2 linked regions of the Canis lupus familiaris genome follow. The protein of the gene in region 1 interacts with the protein of each later gene in a pairwise test. Links are inferred from orthologs where the notes say so. Each region holds a gene or a part of one and is shown on either strand. Other genes may lie near its edges. The genes, in order: ALDOA and ENO3.

What was found.
Region 2: the proteins of ALDOA (region 1) and ENO3 interact in a two-hybrid assay, tested with the Homo sapiens proteins (2 studies listed by BioGRID and IntAct, with this or other methods). The link is inferred for Canis lupus familiaris from reciprocal best matches to the Homo sapiens genes ALDOA and ENO3.

Annotation. Positions count from the first base shown.
Region 1 is NC_049227.1:18,241,791-18,246,106, forward strand, and holds the start of ALDOA (fructose-bisphosphate aldolase A), read left to right. Parts: upstream 1-1,394; 5' UTR 1,395-1,418; exon of another isoform or gene 1,419-1,419; intron 1,420-1,547; exon of another isoform or gene 1,548-1,704; intron 1,705-2,688; exon of another isoform or gene 2,689-2,839; intron 2,840-4,163; 5' UTR 4,164-4,178; coding exon 4,179-4,290; intron 4,291-4,316. UniProt on the Homo sapiens protein: Catalyzes the reversible conversion of beta-D-fructose 1,6-bisphosphate (FBP) into two triose phosphate and plays a key role in glycolysis and gluconeogenesis. In addition, may also function as scaffolding protein.
Region 2 is NC_049226.1:31,870,921-31,875,257, reverse strand, and holds the start of ENO3 (beta-enolase), read left to right. Parts: upstream 1-1,492; 5' UTR 1,493-1,544; coding exon 1,545-1,560; intron 1,561-2,009; exon of another isoform or gene 2,010-2,157; intron 2,158-2,260; exon of another isoform or gene 2,261-2,361; intron 2,362-2,779; coding exon 2,780-2,866; intron 2,867-3,094; coding exon 3,095-3,190; intron 3,191-3,342; coding exon 3,343-3,401; intron 3,402-3,550; coding exon 3,551-3,620; intron 3,621-3,967; coding exon 3,968-4,101; intron 4,102-4,337. UniProt on the Homo sapiens protein: Glycolytic enzyme that catalyzes the conversion of 2-phosphoglycerate to phosphoenolpyruvate. Appears to have a function in striated muscle development and regeneration.

The sequences.
Region 1 (4,316 bases):
GGTACTCAGAAATGATGGAGATCCTGCAGTTGAGTCTTAGGCCAAGGAAGAAAGCCACAGAACCAGGTTCTTTTCATCATGGATGGAAAATGTGTGTGCACTCCCCCTTGTCTCCTGACTTGGAACTGAATGGGGCCACAAGGATATAGTAGAATCATCTTTGAACTGAACATTGGGACCTAATGGAACAGGGCTACTTGATCTTTTAGTCCCCTTGCCTATAAAATGGGAAGGGAGGGCAGCCCTGGTGGTGCAGCGGTTTAGCGCCACCTGCAGCCGGGGGTGTGATCCTGGAGACCCAGGATCGAGTCCCACATCGGGCTTCCTGCATGGAGCCTGCTTCACCCTCTGCCTGTGTCTCTGCTTCTCTCTTCTCTCTCTCTGAACGAATAAAGAAATAAAAAATAAATAAATAAATAAAATAAAATGGGAAGGGAAGAACCCCTTGGATAATTTCTTCCAGCTCCTGCACTCAGCTGTTTGGAACACTGCTTCCTTGCTGAGTTCTCAACAGCACAGGGAATTGATTTGTTCCCAGGACTGGTAGATGGTACCCTTTGTTCCACTGGGCAAATGGGGCTTTCCAGGCCTCTCTGTTGCCTTCTCCCTTGAGAGGGAAACAGCTTCGGGGACTAGGACTCTGGCCCACCTCCTTCACCCCCTTCTCCTTTCCCTCAGGGCTGGGGCCCTCGCTGCCCTCGCTGCTGCCCACTCTGTGACTGTGCTTGTGCGTGCCAACTTCCTGACTGCCAGAGCCTCAACTGTCTCTGCTTCGAGATCAAGCTCCGATGAAGATCCAGACTTCTTGCCCCTTGGAGAGTGGCCAGCCCCCGGGGCCACCAAGCCCCCATCCCTGATGAGCCTCCAGGCACTTTTCTCCAGGCCACTGGAACCACAGATGGCCTGCTCAGCTCCTCCCCCTGGGAACCAGCAGTGGAGAGCCTGGCTCCCTGCAGAGCAGGACTCAGGGAGCCCTTGGCCAGTTGGACCGAAGCCCCTTTGGAGGGCCAGGAGAGAGAGGGGCTAGTGCTCTGACACGAGCCTCTGCCTGCCTCTCCCCTCCCCACATAAACTATTATAATTGAACATGAGGGTGGGAGACACTGCTCACCACTGACCACCTTATGGGACAAACTTCAGCCCTGAGTTTCAGGATATAGGGTACCCCAGCCACACCTTATCCATGGACTCTTGGTTGTTTTGAGGTGAGTGTAGCATCTGTATCTGCTCTCCCACCAAAAGAATGGTCTCTCCAGAATCACAGGGCCTAGAGGGGAGGGAGGTCTGAGAAGACAGGGAGGCCCACAGATCTGAATCTCCTTTCCTCTTCTTCCCTCCCCACAGATCCCTGTGCAAAGATTGATTTCTTTTGCCAACTTCTGAGGGCTGGATTTCCAAGGAAATTCTTCTGAAGTACGGTGAGTGGACAGGGCTCCCCATGCCCCCCAAGTAGGGCAGGCCCACGGTTTTCTCCCCCTTCCCTCACTTTAGGCCCCATGCTGGCATGAATGTCAGGGGCTTCAGGTTTCCCTAAATATAGGTCCCTGCCAGGGGATCCGTGGCAAGGAAAGGGCAGGGGTCACCGGAGGAGGTTGGGGACATTGGCTGGGGGGAGGGCAGGAGCTGCCTTATAACCCAGCCCGGGAGCAGCCTGGCTCACTCGCTGCTGACCAGGCTCTGCCCTCTCCTTCAGCCTCCTCGCAGGTGGGCGCCAGCGGGACGCAGCAGGGGTGGGGTGGGGTGGGGTGGGGCCTAAGGGGCCCAGAGTAGGAGGGAGGCCTGGCCCCTCGGACGAGGGGCTCGCGGTGTTGCTGGGGCTGACCCCTAGGGGCAGATTGGATTCGGAGGGGGAAGCCAGGTCCCAGGGAGACGTTTCCGCGAGGACTCTGGCGCCGCACTCCCAGACTCGCCGGGGCGAGCGGGCGCCGCTGCAGGCCGGTCCGCGCTGGCCCCGGGCGGAGAGCGCGTGCGCAGCGGTGCGGGGCCGGCCCCGGGGCCCCGAGCCCGACGGGCGCGGCTGCGGCGCCCACACCCGCGCGGGCCGGCTGCCCGGAACCGCTGCCGCCCGGCCTCCGCCCTCCGCCCTCCGGCCTCCGCCCGCCCCGCCGCCCTCTCGCGCTCCTCCCCGTGCGGCCGCTCTTCCGCCTGGACTGGTGACCCCGGGAGGGCGGCCCCACGCCCCGGAGCCCCTGAACCGGCTAGCGGAGCCCGCGGGCGAGGTCGGCCGACGCCCGGCCTCCGGGTTCTGCCCCAGCGGGTCACTCGCGGGAGTCCCGCGGGCCGGAAGCCGGGCTGCCCCGGGCCGCGCCGGGCGGGGGAGGCTCTCGCACCCGCTTTCCCCCTCCCCACCTCCTCCGGTGCCCCAAATGGGCTGAGTCACGGCGCCCCAGAACGTGCCAACTGGGGGGGGGGAAGGGAGAGGGAGGGGAGGGCCCCGGCGACCCGCAGGATGTGGCCCGAGTCACGTCTTAGGGGGCCGGGGGAGGGATCGTGTTCTCGCCGCGCTGTCCCCGCCCAAGCGCCGCCTCCGGGCTTCGCCGTTCGGGGGCGGCCTCTGCACTGTTCCTCGCCTGCAATTGGACGCCAGGGCGCCTCCGGCCCCCTTCAAGGGAAAAAAACCCGGCGGAGGCTGGCGCGGCGCCTTTATAAGGCCCGGCGCCGCCTCCCTCCTCCCCGCCCCCTGCGCCGCCCCCTCGGAGCTGAATAGGCTGCGTTCCTCCTGGAACGCGCCGCAGAACCGGGGTCCTGGTGACGACGGCCGCGTTCGCTCCCTCAGCCCGCTCGCCCGCCCGCCGCCCTCCACCGCCGCGCCCCGCAAGCCCGCCCCCTCCCGTGCCAGGTGAGCGCCCCTTGCCACGTGCGAAGGTCAGGGACCATGGAGAAGGATCCTGGGGGACCGTCGGGGAGGGCAATCGGAAGCCCTCCCCGCCCCCACCCCCCATTCCCAGCATCTCCCACGCCCCACCACCACCCACATGCTCCAGTCCCGGCTCCGCAACCCTCTCCGGCTTGGGTTCCCCGGGTTTGCGGCGCAGTGCCGCGGCTCCGCGCGCTGAGTCATGGCGGGGGAGGAAGCAGGACGAGATGAAGGGCCGTTCTTCCTCTCCTCTTCTTGCTGAGACCCCAGGTGCAAAGCGTTATGACCCCTTTGCCTCTGCGGGGATCCTAAGAGGCCGCGAGGGGTGGGGGCCAGTTCTTATAGTGCTTTAGGGTTTCCGAAAGCGTGGTTGGTCTCTGCCCTGGGAGGTGGGCGACCCCGGCGAGGAGGGGGAAACCCCTAGGAGGCGCCTGATGACCCGTTAACACTTTCCGTGTCTTTCCTTATCGGGTGACCTTGATTGGGAGCCTGGAGCAGCTGCAGCCGTGCGAAAAGACGAGAGCATTTTCAGGGGAAGGGGTGGGGCTCTTGCCTCTCTACAATTCTCTTAACCCTGTATGAGCAGTGAGATCGGCAAACCTTACCCCTTTCCGCCACCTCCGGCTGGGCTTCCTCTGCTTACCTTTCCTGGGCTTCTGATTACATTTCTGCCCCTTTTTCTAACACCCTTTTCCTAACACCCTCCCTCAAACCTGGGGGGAGAAACTTGACCTTGGGATGTCCTTGAGGCCTTCAAGCCTGGGCCAGCCCTGGGATCTTGGGTGGGTTGAAAGGCCCTGGTGGTCAGAAGATCTGGGTTCTAATCTCAGCTCTGGCCCTTCTGCTGTGGGACTCAAAGCACAGAACTTTCCCTCATTTCAGTCCTTGGGTTGGGCCCTCTGCCTGCCTACCACCTCTAAATTCTAAACTACTCTGGTTCAGTTCTGCTTCTAGGCAAGGTGACCCCATGGCAGAGCGCAAGCCAGAAGGGTCCATCTTCTACATGACCTGTCTGTCCATGGCTCTGGCCTATTGCGTTTCCCCAGATGACAGTACGCTACCCCACCCTCAGCTGGGAAACACCCAGCAACAAACAGAGTTAGGAAAGGTACAGGAGGCAGGCCTAGTATAAGGAAGTTGGGAGTAGGGGAGGGCTGGGGACAGAATGTGCCCCAAGACATACCAGTATGGAGCAGGGGAGGTAAGGAACCTTTGTCCGGACCACCAGGCAAGGGGCCCTGCTTGTTGGGAGACCATGGTGAGACCCAGCTAACCAGTTCTCCCCCTTTCTGTATCCTTTGCGTAGGAACTGACCGGCAACATGCCCTACCAATACCCAGCGCTGACCCCGGAGCAGAAGAAGGAGCTTTCTGACATCGCTCACCGCATTGTGGCTCCGGGCAAGGGCATCCTGGCTGCAGATGAGTCCACTGGTATGGGCAGGACACAGTAGGAGGAG
Region 2 (4,337 bases), on another chromosome or scaffold:
TCCCTCCCCCTATTGCAAAATTTGCAGAGTTGGGTGGAAAGCTCTGTAAAAGGATGGAGGGTGGGGTGATGGTGGTTGGGGGGAGTGCGGGTGGCAGGGGGAAGTTCGGGTCAGGGCCCGCTCCGCTTCGCCTTGAATACAAACGGGACTGTGGTGCCGGGGAAGGGAGCGAGCCCGAGGGAGGAAAGGATGCGAAAGCCGGCGGACGGGCGAGCCGCGCGCGGGGCCGGCGGGGGGTGCGGGGCGCTCAGGGTTAAATGGAACGGCTGCCCCTCCCCCACCCCTGCCGGAGGGCAGGAGCGGCGGCGGCGGCGCGTGCGTCCGCGCCTGCGCCGGGCCGGGCAGGAGGGCGGGAGGGCGCGGGGCGGTTGGGGCCGGCGGCCCGCGGCGCGGGAGCGGGGTGCGCGCGGCGGCACCCCACCCCCCAGAGGCGGGCGGGCCGGGGACGTGTCTCCCGCGGGGCGGAAGGGGCGGGCACGCGGCTCGCTCTCTATTTTATTCAGTCACGACTTGCGGGAGCCCCGGGTCGCGAGGACAGATGGGCCCGGCCGCCCTCAAGAGTCCAAGGCGTCCACCGGGAAGGGGGGGCACGAGTGTCTCCAGTATCTGCCCGACAGACACGTGCAGGAGCAGCCCCCCCCCCAGGCAGGCCCAAGCCCCACGTCCCCGCCCCCCGCTGCCAGCACTTTGGGTCACCGGCCGTGCCCCTTGGCCCGGCGCGGCCGAGGTCACTGGGCGCGGGAGGCAGGGGCGGGACTACTTCTCGGGGCGGAAGGACACGGGGAGGTGGCCAGATTTGCAACTTTTCCAAGAGGGGGAAAGTCCCCTCCCGCTCGGGCCCCTCGGGCTCTTTCTTCTTCTTTTCGGGGAAACTTGTGCTGGGAAGCTTTGCGCGCGGCTCTCGCCGGGCGCCCCGCGGGCAAGGGAGGGAAGGGCAGGGCCCCGCGGCCGCCCAGGTGGGGCTGCCGAGGGTCTGGGCCGCTTCCGGGCCCCCACGCCCCCCGAGCCCGTTCCTCGACAGCCGCGCCGCTGAGTCACCCGGCCGCTCGGGCGGGGCGCGCTCGGGCACGTGGCGGCGCTCCCCGCCCGCTGGCTGCTGACCTCTGCCCGCCGCACCCCCGACCCCGGGGTGGAAAAGTCCGGGAGGGCGCGGCCGGAGCCGGCGGGCGTGGAGGGTCAGGGCCGGAGCCCCGAGGTGCCCACGCTCCCCGGGCCGGGGCGCACCCCGCGCCGCCCCCAGACCCGACGCTCAGACCGCAGGGGCCACCCCCTCCGGTCCGGTCCCGTCCCGCCCCGCCATTCATTCTGAGCCCTGGTCTAGGAGCACCGTCCACGGGTAGGGCCGGGGTCGCCAAATCCCCGGCTCGGCTGGGAGAGGGGCTCCCGACCGCCGCTCCATGAGCGGGGCGACAAGTGCTGTCCCAGCGCCCCGGGCAGGGCGCCGCGCCGAGGCTGAGCGCCCGTCTAAATCGGGCTCCCCGCCCCCTCCCCCACCCCCTGCTGGCCCGGGGCGCTGGGGAGAGCGGGCGGCCCGAGAGGCCATCATGAGGACCCTGAGAGGTGAGACCCTCTCGCCTCCCTGCATGGGGAATTCGAGGTGGACCTCAGCGCTTGCCCAGACACACACACCGCCCCCCTCCCCCGCCCTCCTCCTCCTGGGGGCGCCTGCCCAGGGAGCCAAGCATGTATGGACATCAATCCTGCAGCCCCTCTTCCAGGCCCCCTCCCCAGCCCTGCCCGGCTCGGGTTACCGCTGGCCTTTGCTAAAGGGCACAAGTTCCTCTTTAACCTTTGCAAAGGGGGCGTATAATCCTGGCCAGGGGAGAGACCCCCAATCCGAAGGCCCTCCCAGGCCCCTCCCCAGAGCTGGAATTGAATGTGGGGGCTTTTATTGGGGAGCAGAGAGGAAGGAGGGGTCGTCATTGACCTTTGGGAAGGGGGCAGGTGTCGGGGCCAAAGGCTCCCGCTTTAGGCTGCAGTGGGCACTTGGCTGCCAGCCCAGTGTGGAGGGGGAGGATGGAGAGGGAGAGGCGGGGCTGGCCAGGGCGTCGGGTGGCTAGGAGATAAATGCCCGGCCTGAGGGGGTGAGCTGACACTGTCCCAGCTGCCACCTAGGCTCAGAGCTCACCTCGACTCCCCCCAGCGGAGACATCCCAGGTCTGCTGAGTTCTCCAGTCCCAGAGGATGGGGTGGTGAAGGGTGAGGGTGGGTGCTGGTTTGGACAAAGTTGGGAGAGGTGTCAGCTTTTTCTACCTTCCAGGACCAGGGTGCTTGAGAGACTTGGAAGGGTGGGAGCGAGCAGCATGGGGGTACCCAGGACAGGGAAGGAGACTGTAAGACCATGAGGAGCCATAGGCAGAGGTGGGTGGAGGAGGGGAGGGAGTTGGGGCCAGGTGGGGGATTTGGGGTCCCCGTGGATTTGGAGGAAGATGACAACCAGAAGAGAGAAGAGGGTCTGGGGCTGGCAAGCTACGGAGAGCCGAGTGCTCCACTGGAAGGGAGGAGGCCTAAGTGCACTCTGTGGGTGATGGGGGTCCAGGGAGACCTGTGGGGACCAGTTAGGGGAGAGGCTGCGGACCCTGAGGATGGAGGTGGAACTGGAGCTGCTGTGAGTGGGGGAGGGGGCTGCGCCTGCCTCTTTGGGCTGTGACCTTTTTGTGGGATATTTTTAGCTCCAGCACCTGCCTTCTTGGGGTGGGGAAGACTCTTAAAGGGCAAGGGATTTCGGGTTCCTTGAGGGATCAACTATCCACACTCAGTCACACCTCTCCTCCTGCAGCCATGGCCATGCAGAAAATCTTCGCCCGGGAGATCCTGGACTCCAGGGGCAACCCCACGGTAGAAGTGGACCTGCACACGGCCAAGGGTACCATGGCTCCCAGCATTGCTCTGCCCTGCGAAACCCCAGCCCACAGGCCCCATGCCCTCTCCTTTCTCTGGGGTCCCCTTCGCCAGAGTCCTCCCCAGGCCTTGCTCCTCAGGCCTGGCTCCTGGGCCAGGACAAGGAGACCCCCTGCCCCTGGGCGCAGAGAGCCCACCTCGGCCTGTGGGGCTACCGGGGGCCCTGGGTGACGTTCCTGTTCTACCCGCCCAGGCCGATTTCGAGCAGCTGTGCCCAGCGGAGCCTCCACTGGTATCTACGAAGCCCTGGAACTGAGAGATGGAGACAAGTCCCGCTACCTAGGGAAAGGTGAGGGAGGACCACCGCCGGAGGAGCCTATGCACATGGGTGGCGTCGGGATCTGTGTTCCCAGCCAGAGCCCTCAAGGAGCAGGGGCCCCGGGAAGATGCCTGATGGACTCCGATTTCTGACCGCCAACCCCCCGCCCCCCGCCCCTCTAGGTGTCCTCAAGGCTGTGGAACACATCAACAAGACCCTAGGCCCTGCTCTGCTGGAAAAGGCAAGAGGGAGCCTGCCTCCCTGCCCTGCAGCCCTGCTGCCCAGCCATCCCGTCCCCCCACCAGGCACCTGTGCCTCCTCTGGCACATGCCCTGAGTCCTGAGCAACGTGACCTCTGCTCTTCCCTCCCCCTCCAACCTCTCTTTCCAGAAACTCAGCGTGGTGGATCAAGAGAAAGTTGACAAATTCATGATTGAGCTGGATGGGACAGAGAATAAGTGTGAGTTGGGGCTGGGGCGGGGGGGAAGGGATGGGCCGTGGCAGGGGTGGGAGTGACCCCGGGATTATTTCCCTGGCCCGCGCTTTGGGGCACACGGTGGCTGGCTGGGTTTTTTATTCATTGCACAGGCATTTCCTGGTGCCTGCTGTCCAGGCCTGGCTGTGGCCACAGATGCGAAGCTGGCACCTTCCCCGGGCTGGGGGCTCCCAGAGCCCCTCTGGCTGCTGGGGAGAGACCCGTCAGCGCCCCCCTCATGCTCAGGGCAGTGGTGTTCCGGGTCCTCTGTGGGGTGACCCCAGGCCCTGGGGGAGAAGCCCTCACCCTTTCTCTGTGCTTGTGTCCCCTAGCCAAGTTCGGGGCAAATGCCATCTTGGGTGTGTCCCTGGCTGTGTGCAAGGCTGGAGCGGCAGAGAAAGGGGTCCCACTCTACCGGCACATCGCGGACCTCGCCGGGAACCCTGACTTAGTCCTGCCCGTCCCTGTGAGTGCCCCTCCTGGGAGCCAGTGGAGCAACCCCAGGAAGGTCTACACTTCAGACCCAGCTCCAAAAACAGGGTTTCTTGAGATGGAACCTCTCCTGCAGTTCTGGCCCCTCCCTCCTTCCCACAATCCGAGCTCCCCTTGACATAAGCCCGGCCCATCACATTCCAGGGCCAGACTCAGGCATCACCGAGTTGCTGGTCCTGCCTGGGCCCCAGCTCCTGAGTCAGGTTGGGC